Cricetulus griseus: one gene and its partners. Each later gene encodes a partner of the first gene's protein in a complex. Links are inferred from orthologs where the notes say so. Each region holds a gene or a part of one and is shown on either strand. Other genes may lie near its edges. The genes, in order: Itga2b, Itgb3 and Flna.

The links.
Region 2: the proteins of Itga2b (region 1) and Itgb3 are in contact, whole or in part, in a cryo-EM structure (PDB 8GCE), measured with the Homo sapiens proteins. The link is inferred for Cricetulus griseus from reciprocal best matches to the Homo sapiens genes ITGA2B and ITGB3. Residues at the interface, in NP_000410.2 of Homo sapiens: Gln49, Phe52, Arg72, Trp141, His143, Asn145, Glu152, Ala153, Glu154, Lys155, Pro157, Arg184, Phe191, Tyr197, Glu199, Phe202, Pro217, Tyr221, Phe222, Phe262, Asp263, Tyr265, Tyr268, Thr290, Trp293, Thr294, Gln315, Met316, Ala317, Tyr319; in NP_000203.2 of Homo sapiens: Ser188, Pro189, Tyr190, Tyr192, Ile193, Ser194, Pro195, Pro196, Tyr204, Asp205, Met206, Arg242, Asp243, Pro245, Lys279, His281, Ile282, Ala283, Leu284, Asp285, Arg287, Leu288, Ala289, Gly290, Val292, Gln293, Pro294, Asn295, Asp314, Tyr315.
Region 3: the proteins of Itga2b (region 1) and Flna are in contact, whole or in part, in an NMR structure (PDB 7SFT), measured with the Homo sapiens proteins. The link is inferred for Cricetulus griseus from reciprocal best matches to the Homo sapiens genes ITGA2B and FLNA. Residues at the interface, in NP_000410.2 of Homo sapiens: Trp1019, Lys1020, Val1021, Gly1022, Phe1023, Phe1024, Lys1025, Arg1026, Asn1027, Arg1028, Pro1029, Pro1030; in NP_001104026.1 of Homo sapiens: Thr2263, Gly2267, Ala2268, Gly2269, Gly2270, Leu2271, Ile2273, Ala2274, Val2275, Glu2276, Gly2277, Ser2279, Ile2283, Phe2285, Asp2287, Arg2288, Lys2289, Gly2291, Cys2293, Val2295.

Annotation. Positions count from the first base shown.
Region 1 is NC_048600.1:115,636,438-115,644,194, reverse strand, and holds part of Itga2b (integrin alpha-IIb), read right to left. Parts: coding exon 7,560-7,757; intron 5,345-7,559; coding exon 5,038-5,344; intron 4,919-5,037; coding exon 4,759-4,918; intron 4,531-4,758; coding exon 4,481-4,530; intron 3,834-4,480; coding exon 3,788-3,833; intron 3,690-3,787; coding exon 3,561-3,689; intron 3,255-3,560; coding exon 3,207-3,254; intron 3,051-3,206; coding exon 3,007-3,050; intron 2,861-3,006; coding exon 2,807-2,860; intron 2,674-2,806; coding exon 2,621-2,673; intron 2,461-2,620; coding exon 2,249-2,460; intron 1-2,248. UniProt on the Homo sapiens protein: Integrin alpha-IIb/beta-3 is a receptor for fibronectin, fibrinogen, plasminogen, prothrombin, thrombospondin and vitronectin. It recognizes the sequence R-G-D in a wide array of ligands.
Region 2 is NC_048600.1:117,666,867-117,674,623, reverse strand, and holds part of Itgb3 (integrin beta-3), read right to left. Parts: intron 7,314-7,757; coding exon 7,152-7,313; intron 4,940-7,151; coding exon 4,844-4,939; intron 4,291-4,843; coding exon 4,201-4,290; intron 2,956-4,200; coding exon 2,821-2,955; intron 1,594-2,820; coding exon 1,164-1,593; intron 1-1,163. UniProt on the Homo sapiens protein: Integrin alpha-V/beta-3 (ITGAV:ITGB3) is a receptor for cytotactin, fibronectin, laminin, matrix metalloproteinase-2, osteopontin, osteomodulin, prothrombin, thrombospondin, vitronectin and von Willebrand factor.
Region 3 is NC_048604.1:1,485,547-1,492,354, reverse strand, and holds the end of Flna (filamin-A), read right to left. Parts: coding exon 6,547-6,808; intron 6,391-6,546; coding exon 6,253-6,390; intron 6,050-6,252; coding exon 5,934-6,049; intron 5,406-5,933; coding exon 5,273-5,405; intron 4,632-5,272; coding exon 4,455-4,631; intron 4,295-4,454; coding exon 4,076-4,294; intron 3,990-4,075; coding exon 3,786-3,989; intron 2,780-3,785; coding exon 2,592-2,779; 3' UTR 2,277-2,591; downstream 1-2,276. UniProt on the Homo sapiens protein: Promotes orthogonal branching of actin filaments and links actin filaments to membrane glycoproteins. Anchors various transmembrane proteins to the actin cytoskeleton and serves as a scaffold for a wide range of cytoplasmic signaling proteins.

The DNA of each region.
Region 1 (7,757 bases):
AAGATGGTTGGGAGACCCCCAGGGTCCCAAGGAAGGCTGGCAATTAGGAGGCCACAGTGCCCATCTGCTCTGCATCTCCTGCCACCCTGAGCTGAATTAACTCCAGATAGAGTCTGACCAGGCTGATCCGAAACTGGCCATGGGGCAAGAATCAAATGGTCAGTAAATCCATGAAGACCAAAACCAGGACAGATACGAGGCCAGGGACTCGAGGACACCATTGTGGTCAGAGGCCTCTGTTTTGTTTTTGTTTTTTGAGACAGGGTCTCCTTGTGTAGCCCTGGCTGGCCTGGAACTCACAGAGATCCACCTGCCCCTGAGTCCTGAAGGCTAGGATTAAAGACTTTTGTTTGAATTATGATTATGGTGATCAAGAAAATTGCAAAGACATACTGTAAACAAAATCAGAAGATAAAGGGAAGATGGTTAAAACACACAGACACACGTGATCCTAAACTGGTCATATATGAAAAGGACTCAGAAAATAATGAGACTGCTAACAGACACACTCTCAAGACACTTGGGTTGAGAGACCTATGATGTGGCTGTGAGTTTGTTGGCATGGTGAAGCTGAAACAGAGTTAGCATCTGGGAAATAGGCTTCAGCTAGTTTTTATTTGCTTTTCAGTTTGGTTTTGTGTTTTGAAATGGAGTCTCACTATGTAGCCCTAACTGGCCTGGAACTCAATATGTATACCAAGCTGGCCTTGAACTCACAGAGATCTACCAACCTCTGCCTCATGAATGTTGATATTAAAGGTGTGCACCAGCACACCAGGCCTACTTTTTTTTCTTCCATTACTGGGAATTGAATCTAGGACCTCACACATACTAAGAAGTTTGCTGCCCCAAGCTGGGCTCAGTTATTTAATCTTCTTAGAAAATGGGAATTAAGGGAAGGGTTGTAGCTGAGCTAATACAGAGCTGGCCTAACATGCCCAAAGCCTCACACAGCATAAGTCAAGTGTGGTGGTGCCCATAGTACCAGTCCTTCTAGCACAAGGGATATGGAGACAGGAGGAGGACTAGAAGTTCAAAGTCAGCCTCAGTTACATAAATAAGTAGAGGCCAGTTTGTGACATATACCACCCTGTCTCATGGGCATGGTTTTGAACATTTTTTTAAAGATTTTATTTATTTATTATGTATACAACATTGTACTTCCACGTATATCTGCACACCTGTTTGTTTCATTTTTGAGACAGGGTTTCTCTGTAGTTTTGGAGCCTGTCCTGGAACTCATTCTTTAGACTAGTCTGGCCTTAAACTTACAGAAATCCACCTGTCTCTGCCTCTCGAGTGCTGGGATTAAAGGCATGTGCCACCACTGCCCGGCTAGTTGGTAGGTTTTTTGAAAGAGGGAGTTATGTATCCCAAGCTGCTCTCCAGCCTCTTAGGTAGCAGAGGGTGACCTTGGGCTTCTATCCCTCCTGCCTCTGCTTCCTAGGTGCCAGGATTACTGGTATGCACTGCCACACTGGCCTGTGTTGGTTCTTGTCACTGCCACCAATGAGCTCATTCTTGCTAAAGGCCATGATGTTTTCCCAGTCCCACCTAAATGGACTGAAAGAGGAATGAGGGGGCCACTTGGCCCATTCCTTCCTCCTGCTCCAAGTACTCTCTCTTAGAGTTTTGGGCCACCAATCTCATGGTTTCTCTCCCAGCTGTTCAAACTCTGTTTCCCACAGTCACCTTCTCGGTGGTCCCTAAATGTTCTTACTTCCCAGGGTTCTACTCTGGGCCTCTTCTTATCACACGGGCTCTGGATCCCATCCACTCTTCCTAGTTCTCTCTCTCTCTCACCCTCAGGCCTCTCTGGCGGAAATGCGGAAAGCCACAGTTCTCAGTTCTCACCTAACACCCCCAAGCCCTTCAAACCCATCTAACCTAGATCTGAACTCCAGACCTCCTGGCTCCCCACTCCCACTCAACCTCCTTCTCTTCTTGACTCCAAATTCCATTTCCCATCCACCTTAATAGTCCCAACCCCAAATATCTGTAAAGTCATCCAATCGCTAACTCCAGTCTCCATCATGCTGAGATTGAGACAAACCGTCCTAAAAGGATTCCCTGAACTCTGGTACCCATTTTCCAGTCGGCAGTCAAGCCTTCCTGGGCTCCTGCTGCCCAAGGTCTCAGCCTCCCTCGTACTGGAACTGCAGGGTACTCCACCCATCTGCCCTAAACCCATCCTTTTGTTAGGGCTATTAGTGCTCTTAAGGTCAAACACAGCAGCTCTTCCACTCACCATTATAGCCATCTCGGTTGAGGTCACCCAAGGGTGCTATGGCAGATCCAAATCTCCCATAGAGCTGAGTGCCGGTCAGCAGGTGAGTGGGCTTGTCCAGAATATGGGGGCCCTGAGGTTGCATAAACAAGTACACACGGCCCACCTCGGCCAGCTTTCCGTCTGCCCTGTGCTCCATATAGAGTGGAGCCCCCACCAGTAAGTCATCCCTCCTGTGGACCACATGGGCAAGGTTAGGTGCAGCTGAGCTAGGAAGATACCAGGAATGAGGGCAGTTCTGGGCCACCCTTGGGACAAGAGAAGGGTAACTCCTGTTGCTGGCAATTGAGGACCCAACTGGGTAAGGGTAGGGCATTCATTCCCTCTTCTCACCCATCCCCATTGACATCAGTGACTGCCACAGAGTGCCCGAAATACGAAGCCATCTACAAGATGAAGAGCGTTTCAGTTTGTGTTTCTGCACGCGGCACCCTGCTAGACATTACCCGCATATCCCAAGAACCGTCTTGAGGGTGTGTGTTTTAATACCCTGATTTTGGTCACTGCCACCGCCCTCACCTGCTCTCCACGAAGCTGGTACAGCCGCTGGTAGTAGGAGTCCAAAATTTCCACCTGTATGGAGGAACACACCCAAGCGCGTCATTCACGTTTCCTCAGTGGCTTCCCACTCTCATTGCGAAAGGGTAGGGTGCTGGCGAATGTGGGGGAGTAAACAAGATGACTAGGGTCAAGGGTTTGGTGGGAGAGCGGGCACTTACCGCTCCCAAGGTCGAGCTCCAAGTGGGGGCACCCATTATGTACTCTGTGAAAAGCCAGGCTCAGCAAATCAGATCCTCAGTCCCGACTTATTCCATCCTCACATAGGGACCCCGGGGGAATTGTGCAGAGGTGCTCCTGCCCCAGGACTCCTCTTGTAGAGGTGATCCTGCCCCAGGACTCCCCTAACTGCATTCCTTGCCTGTAGTGCTCGGATCCCCATCGAACTCGCCCACGGCCACCGAGTACCCTGAAAGCACAGCACAGCTTAGTGTTTAAGGCAACGAGGAAGACCTCGGTCAGGAAAGGAGGGTCATGAGAAGCGAGGTTATCAGCACAAACTGCATTGTGCAGGTGGGAAAACGGAGGCGTGCCCAAGATCTCACTTGAGTCCAAGGAGAGAAGGGTGAGCCAGTTTGGATGGGAGTTGAACAAGCGTGGTGGAAGAGGCAGGAACAGGGGGCGGGGTGCCTTTGTGCTGGGGTTGACTAGCTAAGATTGGCATAAAGGCACGAACAGGGGCCTGGGAAGCCTGGAAAGGAGATGCCAAGGTTACCCTGGTAGCTGTAGAAGTACGCTGGGTTGCCGGAGTCGAAGGTGTAGTGCTGACTGGGTAAAGGCCACAAAAGGGTACCCGGGCGGTAACTAGAGATGATACTCGAAATTGGAACCCGAGCCAGGAGACCTAGGAAGGGCACAGGGACAGGAGGTGTGGGGCACCAAACGCCTGGGTCTCCCCAAACCACGGAGATGGGAGAGAGTTGGAATACTGGGCACACCTACCTAAATAAAAGTAGCCGCCGGGGGCCCCAAGTACTAGCTCCCCATCCTGAAAGGGAAGTCCTGGTCATGAGAGGGTCCTCTATCCTGGGAACAACCCTAAACCACTTTGCCTGCACATTCTTTTTTTTTTTTTTAAGATTCATTTATTATGTATACAGTGTTCTGCCTGCATATATATATATATATATATATATATATAATATATATATTATATATATATCTGCCTGCATGCAGCATAGGGCACCAGATATCGTTATAGATGGTTGTGAGCCACCGTGTGGGTGCTGGGAATTGAACTCAGGACCCATGGAAGAGCAGCCAGGGCTGAAGAGCCATCTCTCCAGCCCTGCCTGCATATTCTTTTGTTTGTTTTTAGAGACAGGGTTTCTCTGTGTAGTCCTGGCTGACCTGGCACTCGCTCTGGAGACCAGGCTGGCGTCAAACTCAAGAGATCCACCTGCTTCTGCCTCCCGAGTGCTGGGACTGAAGGCATGCGCCAACATCGCACCATTCTCATTCTCCCCACCACCCCATCTCATTTTGAGACGAGTTTTACTTTGTAGCTCAGGCTGATCTCAAACTTGCTATGTACCCGGGGCTGGCCTCAGACTTGCTATGCAGACCAGGCTGACCTCAAACTCGCGAACCTCTAGGCTCAAGCTCCAGGGAGAGCTACTCTTGCCTGCGACTTGCCTGAGTCACCACAGAGCTGAAGCCGGCCTCACAGTGTCGCATGTCTTTGTCTACAAGAGGCAAATGGGGGTCAGCCCAAGGGGCGGCTCCGCGTGCTCCCGCTTTAGCCAGGAGTCCCGCGTGGGCAAGCAAAACGATGCGGGGCGGGGAGGGCGCGGAGGCGGGGCGCCCCGGGGGCGTGGCCTAGCGGAGGGGCCGGGCTCCCGGCGCGCGAGGTCGGTGGCGGGGTGGGGTTTGCAGCTAGCAGAGGGCGGAGCCTAAGGCGGAAGGGCGCCCACTTAAGCTTGAGTAAGCCGAGCTCGTGCTGTTGGCGCGGCAAGGCGAGAACTCGGCGCGACCGCCGCTTTGGAGCTGAGCCACGAAGCAGCCGCCTACTGGGGTCTTCTCTGCCTCGCGGTTCTTTTCCAGGACATTCCAGTGCTGCCAGGGGGCGCAGGCCTGGAGCAGAGTCGCAGGGGATTGGGGAAGGGCGCGATATTCTGGCTCCCCCCGCCCCCGCCCCCGCCCCCGTGTCATTTCTCTGGACTCGCTCCCTGTGACCTGTCCGCAGTGCCCACCACAATGACGTCATTCCAGGTGACCACCGACGCCCCAAGTCCTTGCCCGGTCTTGAAGGTCTGGAAAGTCTGGAAGCCTGCCTGACGGGTCTCGTCCCCTGGAGGGCACAAGAAAGGGAGGAGCTCCGGAGCCCCGCCCAGCACTTCCACCTGGCTCCGCCGCCCCCTCCGTGCCGGAGACTCACTTAGGTCGAAGGTCAACGGGGTGCAATTGCCGCCAGTGGCCTTCCAGGGGCACAGGAACACGCCGCCGGTCTCCTCCTGACTTGGGCTTAGGGCCCTGGGGGCGCCCACCACGATGGACACACTGCGTAGGAAGGCCGAGTGAGCACAGCTCGGGGTCCTTCCATCCTGCCCTGTGCCTGCCACCCCAGCAGAACCTGGAAGGAGGTGTGGCACAGGAGACACTGGGGCATCTTTCCTCACAAATACCCCATGAAGGCCAACCTCTTCATTTTAGGGGCAGCTGAAACTGGACTCTTAGGAAAGTCACCTGAGACTAAACCAGTTGGTTTGGTTTGGACGGGAAGGGTTTCATAGTCCTTGCTGAAAACGCCTGCTATGCTTCCAATAAGAACCAGACAAATCTTCTGCCTTGTCAAGCTTAATAGATGGCTTAGGGAGAGCTGTTCTGAATGGTGAAGGGTGCGGCGGGCTGAAGTGGGGATGTGGGATGTGTGATGCTGACAGACAGAGTTGAGGATCCTAGCAGACCGAAGTTTAAATCAGTTCTGCCTTATGTAAAGCAGGGGTGATATCAAGCAACTGCGCTGCTGGAAGAGTAAATGCAATAAATGTATGAGAAGGTATTCAGTACGCCCTCAGCCACATGCTTTTGTAAAAGTGTATTTGTTAATAAACACAGCATGCTTATTAAATTGTACCCATGGGACCAGAGCTTGGGGAAAGAGCAGCAGACCGAGGAAGGGGGGGAAGGAGTTGAACTGAGCTTCAGGCCCTGTGTGTTAACACTCGAGAGCTCTGAGGACAGGAGATTTTTGTTTGTCGTTTGTTTAATTATTTTATTTTTTCCATTTTACATATCAATCCCAGTACTCCCTCCCCTCATCTTGCTTCCCCCACCTTACCCTCTAGCACGGACCTGCTCCTCAGAGAGGGTATAGACTTCAGGGGGAGTCAACGAAGTCTGTCCCATCATGATGAAGCCTGACCAACTGCTCCCCCACCCCCCACCCCCGTGTTGAGCAAGGTAGCGAGGTATCTCTCCGTAGGAAATGGGCTCCAAAAAGCCAGCTCATGTACCAGGGATAGATCCTGGACCTACTTACTGCCGGTGGTCTCACAAACTGCCCAATCCACCCACTGTCACCTGCATTCAGGGGGTCTAGTTCAGTTCTATGCAGGCCCGGCAGCTGTTAAGTCTGGAGTCAGTGAGCTCCCACTAACTCTGGTCAGTTGTTTCTGTGGGTTTCCCCTTTATGATCTTGACCCCTTTGCTCATATTGTCACTCTTCCTTCTCTTCAACTGGACTCTGGTTTTGTTTTTTTGAGACAGGGTTTCTCTACGTAGCTCTGGCTGTCCTGGAACTCGCTCTGTGGCCTCAAACTCATAGGGATGCACCTGCCTCTGGCCCCCATTAAGGGGGAATAAAGCCAGATGTTGGTGGCGCATGCCTTTAATCCCAGCACTCGGGAGGCAGAGGCAGGCAGATCTCTGGGAGTTCGAGGCCAGCCTGGTCTACAGATCGAGTTCCAGGATAGGCTCCAAAACAATACAGAGAAACCCTGTCTCGAAAAGCCAAAAAAATAAAAAAATAAAATAAAGGAGAATAAAGGTGTGTGCCACCACACCCAGCTCAGGAGCTTTTATTTACTTGACAGTCTTGCTATGCAGGCCTGGTTATTTAGCTTATGGTAACCATCCTGCCTCAGCCTTCTGAGTGCTGGGTTTACAAGCATATGATGATTCTCAGTTACAGAATCATCAGAGTTGAGGCAAGCCCAGATCCCTCCCCCTTCACAGACAATCTCCGGATGCAAGACATCTTGGGATGGGGACCTGGCTTTTGATGAAATGGCTCTTTTAGGCAGAGGAAACGATTCCTTACACTTATCCTTGAGAGCAGTCTTTACTGTTCCCCAAACCTGAGCATCCCAGTGTCCATCACATTAAGTTACCCAGGATAAACACAGCTATGAAGATGACCCAGGAATATTAGAAGTTTGATCTCAAAACCTGATCAATGCCGACTGTTAGTAATCTATTACTTCTTTTCAAATACCTATAATTTGGACACTTGTATCTTTGCCAGCCAATTTCACATGAGTGGCTGAGGGTAAAGTGACAAAGTGAGGGACAAAGATGATAGCAACTTTTACCTTTTTTGTTCAATGATCATCTCCCATTGGTGTCCCTCCCCGGCACCCTCTCCTTCATTCCTGACAGGAGTTCCACCCAAACAGACACTAGACTTCACCTTGCTCAACCAGAGAGAGAGAGGCCACAGAGGCAATGATGAGGAGGCAGTCCTCTCAACACCCGTACCTTCCCTGGTGCTCACCTCCCGTGGTTGTCCTTGTGAAAGTCCACTGAAAATCCAAAGTGGCTGCCATTGGGACCTGCATAGACGGTGAACTTCACAGGGTCCAGGTTCAAGGCCCAGGCTGAAGGAACAGCACTAGGTCCCAAGAACAGTGGTGTCCACTGCAGGAGCCACAGGGCATGCCACGGACATGGAGCTTTAGCCATCCTCCTCCTT
Region 2 (7,757 bases), about 2.0 Mb from region 1:
AACTGGTCAGCCCCAGGGTCAATGAGAGATCTAATCTCAAAGCATAACATGGAAAGTGATTGAAAAAGACACATAAATCTAGCTCTGGGATGGGCGTTGGTGGCGCATACCTTTAATCCCAGCACTCGGTAGGCAGAGGCAGGCCAATCTCTGTGAGTTCGAGACCAGCCTGGTCTACAGAGCAAGTTCCAGGACAGCCTCCAAAACAATACAGAGAAACCTTGTCTCTAAAAATCAAAAAAAAAAAAAAGTCTATCTCTGGTCACTATACCTATATACACACATGCATGCCTCGTGTGGGAGCACGCACACACACACACACACACACACACACACACACACACACAATTTTAATCTGCTGGTAGGAAGTCACTATGGCAACATTATCCAGTGGAACTTCCTGCAATGTCAACATGTTCAATATCTGCATGGTCCAATATGATAGCCACTAGCCACATGAGGCTACTGACCAACTGAAAACTGAATTTCTGTTTCTATCTCACTTAGTTAATAGCTACACATGGCTAGTGGATACCATTCTGGACAGCACATGAATACACGCAGTAAAAAACAGATGCCAAAACAAGGATAACATTTAACACAGGTACACCACTTCCCAAACACTGTTCTGGTGCCCCCAACGTCCTGCATATATATCACTACTGTCTACTGGTGATAGAACGATAAAGTCATGTAAAATGATTATGAACTTTACAGTATATTCCGATATCATATATTTTCTGTCTGTAAACACTAACAGTTTAATTACCAAGAGACTGGTTTCTTTAGTTGAAAACTAAGTCAGTCCTTATATTCAAAAGGATTAGGAACCTGAAATATCAGAGTGAGAAGAACAAAAAGCAAAACAAGCTACCTCTCCTTGACGTTTCTCCACTCCTGCCTACCTCCAGCTTAGCTTCCTATGCCCCACGAACAAGCTAAAAGATCCGGTTCCCTCCCTCCTCTGCTTATGTCTGGGTTTCCACTCTGAGTGAAATGGATTCTCAGTTCTGCCCACCTTGCCAGCCTCAAGCCTTCCGAGTGTTTCCCAAGGCACCGGGGTGTGTATACATGCACGGCTACCGAGCACACGGGTGTACACTTCTACTGAGGTGTGTATGCATGCATGGCTACCGAGCACGCGGGTGCAGGCTTCTACTCACCAGAGCACATCTCCCCTTTGTAGCGGACACAGGAGAAGTCATCGCACTCACAGAACTTGCCAGTGATCTTGCCAAAGTCACTACTGTGACAGACACACTGGCCGCAGAGGCACTCGCCTCTCTGGCTGCAAATGGGTTGGCCCTCCTTGGAGACGCACTCTTCCTGCTGGGAGGGTCGGTAGTCCTCCTCAGAGCACTCACACATGGCTCCCAGCCAGCCCTGGTCACAGCGGCACACTCCACACTCAAAGGTCCCATTGCCGTTGTTGCAGCGTGGGCTGAGAGGCTGGGCAGAGGCCTGGCAGGCACAGTCACAGTCAAAGGAGACCTGGACAGTAAGGCTATCCTTAAAGCCCACAGGCTTGATAGTGAAAGACTGCTCTTTCTCCTTGGGGCAGCCGCGTACCTTGGCCTCGATGCTAAAGCTCACCTGGATGGAAAGATGACATTCAGACCTAAGTGGATCTGAGAAATGCTACGATGCACCCTACCAAGGAAAACAAAACTAGGTGTCTGAATTCAACCATCCCAGGGGGTTCCGTGACCTTAATACTATCAAAGTCTACAGAGTAACAACGACAGTGGCATAGAAGTTACCACTGTGACACATCTGACTGGACAGATGGTTACAGACAAGCAATAGAAGGCTGTTCTATTCCCGAGAGAGAAACCAGCTGAAGCAGGACAGAATCAGTGATTTTTGTGAGCACTACACTAGCCAACTAAGCCAGCTGGAGGATCAATGTTGCATATTAACAGCAAGACAACAAGATTCTGCTTTGTGCCACACCATGCCAAAGAGTGGTTAATCAGTCCCAAACTGAAGGATACTGTATAAGGCATCATTGCAGCGTGTGAAGTGTGGGGCTGTGGACATACATGCTTGGAAAATAAGCTTACAGGGCAATGGACCAAAAGATTGACTTCTTGTCATTCCTCCCTGCCATCCACCAGTCTCTTAGGTAGAGCAGAGGAGGACCAGCACACAAAGAAAACCCGGGCAGCTAGAGAGATAACTCAGCAGTGAAGAATGCTGGCTGCTCTTCCAGAGGACCTGGGTTCAAATCCACATGGCAGATCACAACCCTCTGTAACTCTAGTTCCAAGGAATCAGATACCATCTTCTGGCCTTCACAGGTACCAGGCACCCACATGATACATAAATATGCACATAGGCAAAATAACCATATGCATAAAATGCAAAACAATAGCCATCAAGAAAACCATGGAGGGAATGCAGGGGCAATATGAGCATCTGCACTCTTAAGTGAGTCTCAAGGGGTCCAGGTATTTTTTCCTGTCCACTTGCTGCTGGATTTTCATCACCCAGAATAAAGCCTGGCGCACAGTCAGTGCTCAGCTAAAGTCTACAGATGATATACTGCCATTTTATGTCACAGAGAAAAGAAAGGCACTACTCTGGGTGAGTAGATAAGAGATCATTTCATTTGCAATCAGATATACAGGTGTGAATATCTCAAAAACTGATGGAGATGTTAACTCAGTGGATACAGAAACTTTAGGCAGCAGAAGCTTCAAGAGGAAAGGTTAAGAGCTCTTGAACTTCTAATCTGAAAAGGGTTGGAGTACACACAGACTCTGGGGTCCACGTCACAGCTTCAGTATCAGTCCCTGCCTCGCCCACTGCCCACCTTACCGTGTCTCCAATCTTGAGTCCCACACAAGACTTGAGGCCTGGGATGACCTCATTGTTGAGGCAAGTGGCATTGAAGGATAGTGACAGCTCTTCAGGGAGGTCACGCACTTCCAGCTCCACTTTGGAGCGGATTTTCTGAGCAGAAAGGGACAAAAGAAAGTAAAGACACAGACAAAGGCCAAAAGCATCCCACGCAAAGCCAACCCAGAGGCCTGGGACGTGCTTTGGTAGTGCCGGATGCTGAGGGTTATCTGCCCGTTGCTGCCAGAATGTCTCTGTACTCAGTTGCCTCTTTTGTGTGTGGCTAGGACCTGGCTCTCCCTCATTCTGCCCTACAGATGCTCCTTGTCAATCTGGCCCGCATCTACAGTCCCCTCCACCTCTAAGCGCCCCACTCACCGTCCGTTCTGCCCTAGCCTTCCTTTCTCTCCCACCTCCTTTCCAGAAGATGTCATCTCTCCCAGGGCTGGCCATCCTCTAGGAGCACAAGAGGAAAGCAGGAAGGCCACATGGGAGAATGGCAGCCTAGGGCTCCCAATGCTGAGCTCTGTCATAACATGGGCCTGCATCTTTAGGCATGATCCCACAGGCAAACCAGGCCACGCACTCCAGCTCGCTTTGGGACAGAGTTCCAAAGCAGTTTGTACCGTGACTTGACAGTTGTCATTGTAGAATACTTGGCTTCTCTATGTGCTGTGTTCAACTAAATCACATGATATGAAACTTCCTGCCACTCCTAAAAACATAAAAAGCCAGACCTTTCCTTTGTTCTAGGAATTGGTCTAGAGAGAAAGGCTGCTTTTGAAGAGGGTCTCTTTGCCTTCACGCTCATGAACATTGTCTCTCTTTGGCTCCCCCTACCCACTCTCCTCCTGACCTCTCTCGATCTCACTCTTCTGTGTTTGTTTGTTTGTTTGTTTGTTTGGTTTTTCGAGACAGGGTTTTTCTGTGGCTTTGGAGGCTGTCCTGGAACTAGCTCTTGTAGACCAGGCTGGTCTCAAACTCACAGAGATCCCCCTGCCTCTGCCTCCCGAGTGCTGGGACTAAAGGAGTGCTCCACCACTGCCCAGCTTCGCTCTCACTCTTAATAAAGCTCCTCTTCAGGCTTTAAAGGGACACCTCTTGTCCCCTTTAAGGCCCTATTATGTTTAGACCTCCCTATTATATTGTTTCCATCTAATGCCTCCCTTCCACCTCCAGGCCCAAGCATGGCCTTGAGGCCCATTCATTTTAAGAAATTTCAATCCTGGGGGGAATTTACATGTCAGGCTCCCATTGTAGAGGGACCACTGCATCCCACTTTTACTTCTTTTTAACACCCTCTGCTCAATGAGCCACATCCAGCAGACTCGACCAGCCCTCCCAGGCCAATATTCTTACCCCATAAGCATCAACAATGAGCTGGAGGACATTGCTTGAGTCAACAGACAGGATTCCCACTGTGGTCCCCGGAATGAGCTCACTATAATTCTAGAAAGGAAGACAAAGATGTCCACAGCTTGCTCAAGGAAAGTGGTCTCCTCAAAGTCCCCCTAGTCAGTCTTTTGGGGGGTGGGGGGCATCAAGACAGGGCTTCTCTGTGTAGCCCTGGCCGTCCTGGAATTCACTCTGTAGGCCAGGCTGGCCTCAAACTCAGAGATCTGCCTGCCTCTGCCTCTCAAGTGCTTTAATTAAAGGCGTGTGCCACCACTGCCAGACTGACAGTCTTAAAGTGAAGTTGTGAGGACACTGTGGGATGCCTCACTTGTCACTACCAGAACAGATCTATCAGATTTTCATATCTGAGGGAAAAGTAAGAAACCTTTTTACTCCCCTCCCCCAACTGATTTATCTCCTCACCATCATCTCAAACATCTACACCCTCTTCCTAGCAGGTTAGAGGCTGAAGGAAAAAGGCTATAGGGAGTTATGTTAAGTACCCAGAGAATGAGTTTTAAAAGGATTTTTTTCCTGGTTGGGTCCATGGCCACCTGGGACAGGTCCATCTGTGGCAACAGGACGGAAGCCCCAGAGGCATAGTTACCTGGTAGAGGTTGGCCACGTCTGCAGTGACTGCGAAGATCAGGTTAATGTTATTCTGGGATAGTTTCTCAGTCATCAGCCCCAGAGACGGGTAATCCTGGAAAAGAGGGAAAGGTTCATGGGGATATCGCCAAGGAAATGTGAAACTTAAAACATTTATGCACTAATCAAAGTGAGGTGTTGTGGTTTGGACATGGCTCCAGTGTGTCCCTTGGGTTTCATGTGATGAAATTGAATTCACACTGTGAGATGCTTGGGTGGGGGGGGGATGAAGACAAGCCCCGCCCCCCAACAGTACTGGGGAGTAGAGTATTCGGGAAGTATGGTTAGAGGTCATTACAGCAAAGCCCCCAGAGTTGAATCCCACTAGTGTCATGAGAGGAGAACAATGAAAACAGAAACCCATACACACACTCCCTGACCTCTGCTTCATGCCGGCCTGAGTCTTGGGACTCAGCCAGCAAGATGACCACCAGATGTGGTCTCTCAAACTCGCAAGTTCTAAGAACAAAACTGAAGTTCTTTTCTGGCTTACTGTTAGCAACAGAAAGTGGATATGAAATGAAAGTTGCTATATGAGTGAGAAGGGCAATGCAGTGCAAGCTTAGCAAAGAACCCTAAGCTGGTGGTGTTCCAAAGCCAAGCACCTTCCTTCCCACTCAGATTCAAACCAGCTCCATGAGTTAAGGCCCACCGTTGCAGAGCTGTGGGCAAATGTCCTAGCCTCGCTCTACTGATCAACCAACACGTGACCAACAACCATCACTCACCCCTACTCCTCTTCTACCAGGCACTGCTCTAGCTCACTCCTCCTGCGAGTGACCTTCATCTTGGCAATCCTCCTCCTTCCTTAGCCAAAGCTCACCTCCTCCAAGAGGCCTTCCTTGACCACCCCAGCTCCTAAGGAGCTTTCCTCTTCCGGCTGCCAATAGCCCTTGACTGTATAACACACTTAGCATTCAGCATGCATTCGCTGCTATTGATAAATGTGCTGGAATATATCCTCTCTCTTCATCTAAACAAAAAAACTTGTAGGAGTAGGTCCTTATAGCTTTTTCATCTCTCGCAGCTCCTGATCAGTGCCTTGTATAGACTAGTATCAGAGTCCGATAGTGCTCAGCTTGTATATGGCTAATACCAAGGACTTGAAGAGACCAGGAAACAGTATGAACCAATATGTCCATGGGCTCATAGACCTTGCAAGGGAGCTCATGAGTTCTCTAGCTCAGTCTCCTCCCTTGAATCACTTTTAAGCCACAAAATGGTTCCTCTATTGACTAGAGAAAATAAGGAGTATGTTTTAATAATAAATAAGGTTTTGTTTCTTATTTAAAAATAAACAGTAGGCTGGGGATGGCCTGGTGGATGAGCAATTATCTAATATACTATGAGACGTTGAATTCAATTTCCAGACTAAGGGAAAAAAAAAAAAAAACAGGCATGGTGGTATAAGCTTCTAATCCCAATACTCAGAAGGTTGAGGCAGAGGACTGCAAGGAGAAAACCAGCCTGGGCTATATATAGAACAAGGCCCTTTATCATTTAATCAATTAATTAAAATCAGGTATATTGTCAAATTACTGTAACCCCACTGATGTGAAGGTGATGGCAGAGGACTAAGAATTACAAGTTAACCTGGACTGCATGGCAAAGCCCTGACTCAAGAAAATGAAGGGGGGTAGGGGGACAAGACAGGTAAAAAAAAAAAGTCAAGACTTTCTCCAAATACCCTAAGTGTTATTATTTTAAACTTAGCTACATTTGCCTCATGGTTGACAGTAATTCCTATTTCAATTTAAGCTCCTTTCTTCTTATTTAGTTAACTGTCTATGGTTAAATAAAACACATGAAATAACTTTTCATAAGTTTTCTTACCTATCATCCTAAATTATCCACAAACATCTTTCTTTCAAACCGAATGACTCTGTGCCCTTTAACCTTTCCTCAAGAGGCTCTGCTCTCTGGGTTTTACCTTTGTCCTTTTCTCCCCCTTGTCTTTCCCCAGTAACCACAAATGAGCTTGATTCCAAGAAGGGACCCATCCACAGAGGAAGGAGGGAAGAGAGTTTTCTAGCTGTGCCTTCCCACATTTTGGATGGCAAGATGCTGTTGCTGGTGCTGACGACTGCGGAGTCAGTGTGACGCCCTGGGTGAGGGTGCCCTATTGGGATGTGGCAGAAACAGGCACTAACTGAGCCCCATATAATGCCCAGAAGTAAGTCTGTTTTCAAATTCACACAAAAGCCTTGCCTGGAATAAAACAGCCCTATCAGAGTGAACAAGGACCACAGTGGGACCAGGCATCTCACCATGGTAGTAGAGGCAGAGTAATGGTTGTCACTGCCAATGTGACACTGTCCATCGTTGGGCAGGACAATGCCTGCCAGCCTTCCATCCAGTGCAATGTGGGTCTTGGCATCAGTGGTAAACACCAGCAAATGGGATGCATCATTCCTCCAGCCAATTTTTTCCTGTTTTGAAAAAAAAGACACAGAGACTTCAGCTATGTCATCCGCACTGAACAAAGACTGCAGAACCTCCATTCCTCAAGAGCTGGACAAGCTGTATTGGAGACGGACCTCAGCCCCAAGCCTTGAACATAAACAAGAGCTTTCTAATTCAGGCTTTGTTCCCTTAGGGAAAAAATCACCCCATTGTTGATTAGTGCATGAGTCTGAATCCCACCTTCTTAACTCTACACATAACTCCTCCAGTGACAGAAACCCTCTGCATCCACACAGCTGGCCTGGATTAGAAGAAATCCCACCCAAACATCTGCTCACTTTGCTGAGGTCAAGTTAACGCAGGCTTGACTCTGAAATAATTCCAGAACATGTGAGCCAATGCTCTCCCTAGGAAAGATCTGGGGCTACTGTGGTTCAAAGAGGTGTCAGCTGTGGCCTCGGTGAGGCTAT
Region 3 (6,808 bases), on another chromosome or scaffold:
TGGCCTTGTTGTTTGCAGAATCAGCTGAGGTGGCCACCTGCCTTTTCCTGGTAGCCTCTGGGACTGTGTGGCTGGGTCTGTCAAGAATGGTAGGCATGGGACTGGAGAGATGGTTCAGCTGCTAAGAGTACTTGCTCCTCTTCCACAAGACCCCGAATTGATCAATTCTCAGCATCCATATTATGGTGGCTCACAACCATCTCTAACTCCAGACCCAGGCAATCAAATGCCCTCTTCTGGCTTCTATAGGCACCAGGAACGGATGTGGTACAGAGACATACATACAGGCAGACAATTATAGTTAATTCTTTTTTAAAAGATTTTATTTATTATGTATACAACATTCTGCCTCTACATATGCCTGCACGCCAGAAGAGGGCACCAGATCTCATTCCGGATGGTTGTGAGCCATCTTGTGGTTGCTGGGAATTGAACTCAGGACCTCTGGAAGAGCAGCCAGTGCTCTTAACCTCTGAGCCATCTCTTCAGCCCATAGTTAATTCTTTTTAAAAGGATCAATTAAGGATGGCAGGCATACTTTTGCAGGTGTCATATGCCCCTCTGTTAGTGCTGTACCTTCTTGGACTTGCCTTTGATACTTTCCCCCCTCTCCAGGTGGCTGGGAGGCAGAGGCAGGCAGATGGATCTCTGTGAGTTCATGACCAGCCTGGTCTACAGAGCGAGTTCCAGGAAACCCTGTCTCGAAGGCAAAAAGAAAAAGAAAACCCCCTGTCCAGGTGGGCAGCTTCTTGAGGTTCCCAGAGTGTTGGGCCCTACTCTCTATCCTGGCTTTTCAACAATAATACCAATGGACCAAGGGAAGGACTTTATCTAGTTGTATCTGCCTGTCTCTTGGGCAATGTCTTCTGGGCCTGGGCAGCCTCAGATGCACAAAAGTGAGGATCCCAGATATACCTGTTTCTACCTACTTCTAGTGTAGAAGTGGAGTACAGAACCTTCCAGAGTCATGGAACTGTCTTAGCTCAGCAGTTTAGTCCTTTATCCCCTGTATGTTTCTTATTGAATAACTAGCTTTTGGCCAAGTGCTCTGAAGTCCTGCCTTATGGGTTGCCAGCAGAGGTCATGCCAATGAGTTGAGTGCTAGGAGCTGAAAGAGGATATAACCTGCAGTGTAGGTCTTGTCCCAGATAACCTGACTTCTTGGCCCTTGACTACAGATGAGTGAAGTGATGACAGTGGGCTTGAGAGCCTTGCATAGGGCTAGGTCCGTTTCAAGGAGATATCCCAGCCATCTGTAGGTTTCACTGGGAGCTAGAATGTTGTTTAATTTTAGCTCTAGGGGACACAGGGAACCATCCTCATACAAAGGATGCAGAAAGGGGTTACTGAGACCAAGAGATTTCCCCACTGCATTTGTAGCAAGGAGGCTCTATATTACAAGTCGCATTTGAGGATAGAAGAGAGGACCATCAAGAATACTTAGGAATGGCTGGGCATTGGTAGCGCACGCCTTTAATCCCAGCACTCAGGAGGCAGAGGCAGGCCGATCTCTGTGAGTTAGAGGCCAGCCTGGTCTCCAGAGCAAGTGCCAGGATAGGCTCCAAAGCTACACAGAGAAACCCTGTCTCAAACAAAAAACAAAAACCAACCAAAAAAGAATACTTAGGACCAGAGCACTATGCTTCCTTCCGTAGGAATGGGTATCCCTCCTTCATTGATGAAGAAGTATATACACTCTGTTGTAAGAGGGAGAATCTTTGTAATGGTGCCTTATTTTGTGCGTTTGAGACCAGCCTAGTCTACATAATGAGTTCCAAGCCAGCCAAGGTTACATAGTGAGACCCTGTCTCCAAAATATCAAAATAAGCCAAGCAGTGGTAGGGCACACCTTTAATTCTAGCACTCAGGAGGCAGAAGCAGAGGCAGATGGATCTCTGAGTTGGAGGCCAGCCTGGTTTCCAGAGTGAGTTCAGGACAGCCAAAGCACCTCAAACCCACCTCAAAAGCCAAACACTAAGAGCTGGTATTATTATGTTCATGGTATCTAAGAGACGGCTAGGCCTTGATGCTATTTCTAAGACAGTTTACCTGATCATCACTGCTAGCGATCACCAACTAGCTAGCAATTAATCTTAATGCCCCACATTTTGCCTACTTGATCCTATGCCATTCTAGGTACATCATATACCCATCTCTGTGAAACAAAGAGCAAATACAGACTGTGCTACCTGGAGATCCCACAGCCTATACCTATGCCTTGTTGGTACCCTTGCCAGTTTGGACTTCATCACTCTTTCCATGAAAGATACAGACACTCACAGGACAATGGAAGCAAAATTTTATTCCTCTTGTCTGGGAAAGAGAACTAGCAAGTGGTTGTACATAGAACTCCCACCCTCCCAGAACCAAAGGAGTCAGGCGCTGCCACCAAATGGCTCCCTTTACCCAAGTGAAAGCCCAGAGAGGCAGGTGAGCACAGCGCAGGGCAGGGGAGACTGCAGTGACAGAGTGGCCAGAGTGATCTAAGGGAGGGCCCAGGGCTCAGGAAAGGAAAATGGACTTCTTGGGGGTGGGACAGGTGTGAGGTTGCTCTTTGCTATGGGAGATTCTGGCTGGCATAGTTGTCAGGCTCAGGGCACCATAATGCGGTATGGGCTGCCTGGGATATGCTCATCACCCCACTTGACCACCAGTGTGTACTCCCCTTTGTCCTTGAGCAGGTAGGAGACACTGTAGAGACGGCTGCCCATGTGTTTCACCAGGATCTCTTCACAGGGTGTCCTTGGGCCATGCACCCCCACCAGCAGCATGTTGTTACCTGAGGTAGGAATAGGCCTCAGTGACTAGCCTTAACCCCTTCCTTCAGCTGTAATTGCTCTGAGCCCTTCTTCCTATTCTACATCCTGTTCCTTGCCTGTTTAGAACAATACCCCTTCCCAACAAGCTTCTCATACCCCACCTAGGCCACCAGAAGACAAATCCCAGGTCTTCCAGGACATTTTCTTCACAGACACAGACAGACAGACAGACAGACAGACAGACAGACACACACACACACACACACACACACACACACACACACACACACACACACACGTACGTCTTTTAGACAGGGTTTCACTGTGCCTTGACTGTCTTGGAACTAGCTCTGTAGACCAGGCTTGCCTTGAACTCAGAGATCTGCCTCCCATGTGTTGGGATTAAAGGGGTGTGCCACCACCAACTGGCAATGCATTTTACATGCATTGGTGTTTTGCCTACATGTATGTCTGTGTGAGGGTGTTGGATTCCCTGAAACTGGAGTTATAGATAGTTGTGAACTGCCATATAGATGGGTGCTTGGACTTGAACCTGAGTCTTCAAAAAAGAAAGGAAGAAAGGAAGAAAGAAAGGAAGGAAGGAAGGAAGGAAGGAAGGAAGGAAGGAAAGAAAGAAAGAAAGAAAGAAAGAAAGAAAGAAAGAAAGAAAGACTGATTATATAAACTGGGCAGTGGTGGCACATGCCTTTAGTCCCAGCACTCAGGAGGCAGAGGAGGCAGGTGGATCTCTGAGTTTGAGACCAGCCTGGTCTACAGAGTGAGTGCCATATAGGCTCCACCCTGTCTCAAAAAAAAAAACAAAATAACAAAAAAAAACCCACAAAACCCAGGTCCTCTGGAAGAGCAACCAGTACTCTTAACCACTAAGCTACTTCTCCAGGAAGCCCAAATATAAAGTAGCCCCCAAAGCAACAATCATACCCCTAAGTTCCTGTACTTTCCACATGTTGACTGTCTTGTGATTTCTGACTTTGTACTTCCAGAGCTAGAAACAGGGATACTTACCTGCTTTGCTGCAGTCTACTGTGAAGCTGCTCTTCTGGCCTACATAGGCCTTGCTCAGCCCCAGGCCTTTGGCTACTACCTTGCTGACATCAGTGGGACTTGGGCCTGAGGTTGCAAGCTGGGGAACAGTGGCAACTTTTGTCAGGGAGTCCACAAATACAGATGTTGTCTCATGAAGACTGTGGTTACTAACAAGACGGGGACCTGCAGGACAGAATAGGTGAAACTGAGAAGTAGCTAGAGAATATCAAGGCATTGAATGGGCACCAACAGCTTAGCCTGGGGCTCACCTGTGACCTTGGCTTTGAAGGGGCTTCCCCCAATGTGATAGGGCCCACCATACTTGATGGAGATGAGGTAGCTTCCGGGTGCCATAGGGGTATAGGTGACACGGTAGCCCTCAGGGCACTCCTGGCAATCCATCTTCACCTTGGAGGGGCCATCAATGGTAACGGAAAGGGCACCAGCTCCTGCATTGCTTGTGTTGACGATAAACTCAGCTGGGCTCCCTGGGAGCATGGAAGGTCAGGCAGAGTGTATGTCACTGGCTCTCCTGTCTTCAGCCACCCAGCACAGCCTTGATACTTCCACATGCTTCCTGTTGCTAAGAGCTTGGATGCAGGGCCCTAACAACTGCATCCACACTCAGAAATATACCCATGAACCTACCTGTGACACCACCTTCCAGGCCTGCTCCATAGGCGGACACCAAGCCTGGGTCCCCTCCATGCCCAGGCTCCCCAACTCGGATCTTGAAGGGACTTCCAGGGATATGAGTACCATTGAACTTAACATCAATCAAGTAGATGCCATTCTCTCGTGGGATGAAACGCACAGCATACTTATCTGAGATGCAGAAGGACATGTCATGGGCCTAGGGTACTTTTCAGTATTTAACAAGCAAATGGTATCTAAAAGGAATAGCCTTAGTACTAACCATCCCTTTCATTTTTCTTGCCACCAGCAGGAACTCAACTGCTCCATGGAGACCCCTCTGCTTCCAGAACTGTACTGGGTACCCACCCCAACAACACATACATCCTGAGGACTAAGATTATAGATACCTAAGAAGTCTACTGTTGAGTCCTTTGGACTGACAAGCAAAATGCCCACATTGTTGCCTCCTTAGACCATGTACTGTTAATACCATGCTAGCAACAGATTAGCAGCAGGTTTAGCAAGGAATTTGCTTCAGGTCATGGACCTGTGGGGAGGGGGAAAACTAGTATGCTTCAATAGAACTGCTATTCCTCTAGCCACAGGGATAGACTGTCTCTGTCTCTGTGTCATGTATGGCACTTCTAAGGCTTTCTTCCTAGTGGCCATGCTGGAAAGCCATTATCTTCATGGGTGTTTTATCAATCTGGAAAGCTGAGGAGCCCAATTTTGATTGCTTACAGAATCATTATTTTCCATGTGTACACTCAAGCCTGGTTTTAGTCCAATAGGGCAGATGGCTGGATGGCTAGACAGGGATAGAGCCTCACCTTGGTCAATCTCTGTGACATAGCACTCCTCCAGAGCTCCTGAGGGGCTGTGCACCTTGGCATCAATTGCCCCCTTGGCTCCATTCAGACTGACTGCAAAAGAGGCTGGCTGGTTGACCTTTAACCCTGACTCCTAGAAGCACAGCAGATGTGGTTAGACAGGATGGCTAGAGCCAGGGAAAATGGAAGAGTAGGAGACCCACAGGGTAACTTACCCATCTGGTATCCAACATGGTTTAAAGAGGGAGAGCCATTGATCTGTGAGGGCAGCAAGCCACAGACACACCCCCAACCTCCTATCCCCTAAATGTGTACTCAACAATTACACACCCAGGCAGCAGAAAGGGAAGGTGGCCCCACCCTATAGGTAGCACTCAGCTCTAGCAGGCTGTCCCTCTTTAAACCTTAGCCCTGGTGCTCAATGGGCACAGGCTTCTGTTCAAAGCCTTTAGACCTGAGACACGAGAAAAACGCCACACGGTGGGCAGGGCAGCTCCTGCCAACCCCAAGCGTGGGCTGTACCCGGCCAGAGCAGAAACCTAGCACCCAGAGTTGTTTCTGGGTGGGCCACTCAGCTCAGAGCTGAGGCCTGTTTGCCATGGTGACTCTGGTCTGGCCGGGCCCAGGAGCCCCAGGTGGGCAGTTTCTCTCAGTGCCTCACCTGAAGACTAGAAACAGTAAGGCGGCGGGCGTCACCAGACGGAGAAGCCACAGGCACCACGAAAGGGCTATCAGGTATGTGCTCCTCGTTGAACTTGACTGAGACCTCATAGTCACCTGGACAGGAAGAAAACATAGGCTGTATTAGAGATGTCACATATCTCCAAGAGCTAGCCTAGGAAAGGCCTATTGCCTTCCACAGCCAGCTTGGGTGTCCCTGGAACCTCAAGATCAAGAATAAGAGCCAAGTGGAGACTATGTAACACCTGGGGTCAAAACACCCACACTCCCCCTGCCCCAGCCAATTCTGTTTCCAGTACCTGGCTCCTGAACTACGTAGGCCACACCACAGGAGCCATCCTTACGGTCCTCAAAAGATATCTCAGCCTTGCTGGGGCCCTCAACAGCAATGGCCAGGCCTCCAGCACCAGCTTCCCTGGTCCAAATGCTGAACTCCGCTGTGGGAAAGCAGTGTGTGCTCATGGAGCAGAGAACTGGTTCCCCACCCCCAGACAACTCCAAACAAAGCCAAGATCAACATAACTGCTAGCTACCTCCTCTAAACACCCATCTAGGCCTACCCAGGATAGCAAGAATTAGACAAGCACACCTACCTGGCACTCCAGCTTCAGCCCTCTCTAGGCCAGGGCCTCCAGCACGAACCTTATGGGCACCCCCTTCCCCAAGAGGCCCCACAGTGAACTGGAATGGGCTCCCAGGCACATGTTGGCCCTTGTACTTGACGCTGACTGTATGCATTCCCATCTCAGCAGGCACAAATCGGATACAGTAAGTATGGTTCTCTCCTTCTACGATCTCTGCCTCGTGGGTCTTGCCTGATGGGCTGGTCACCTGGGCTGTCATATCTTGGATACT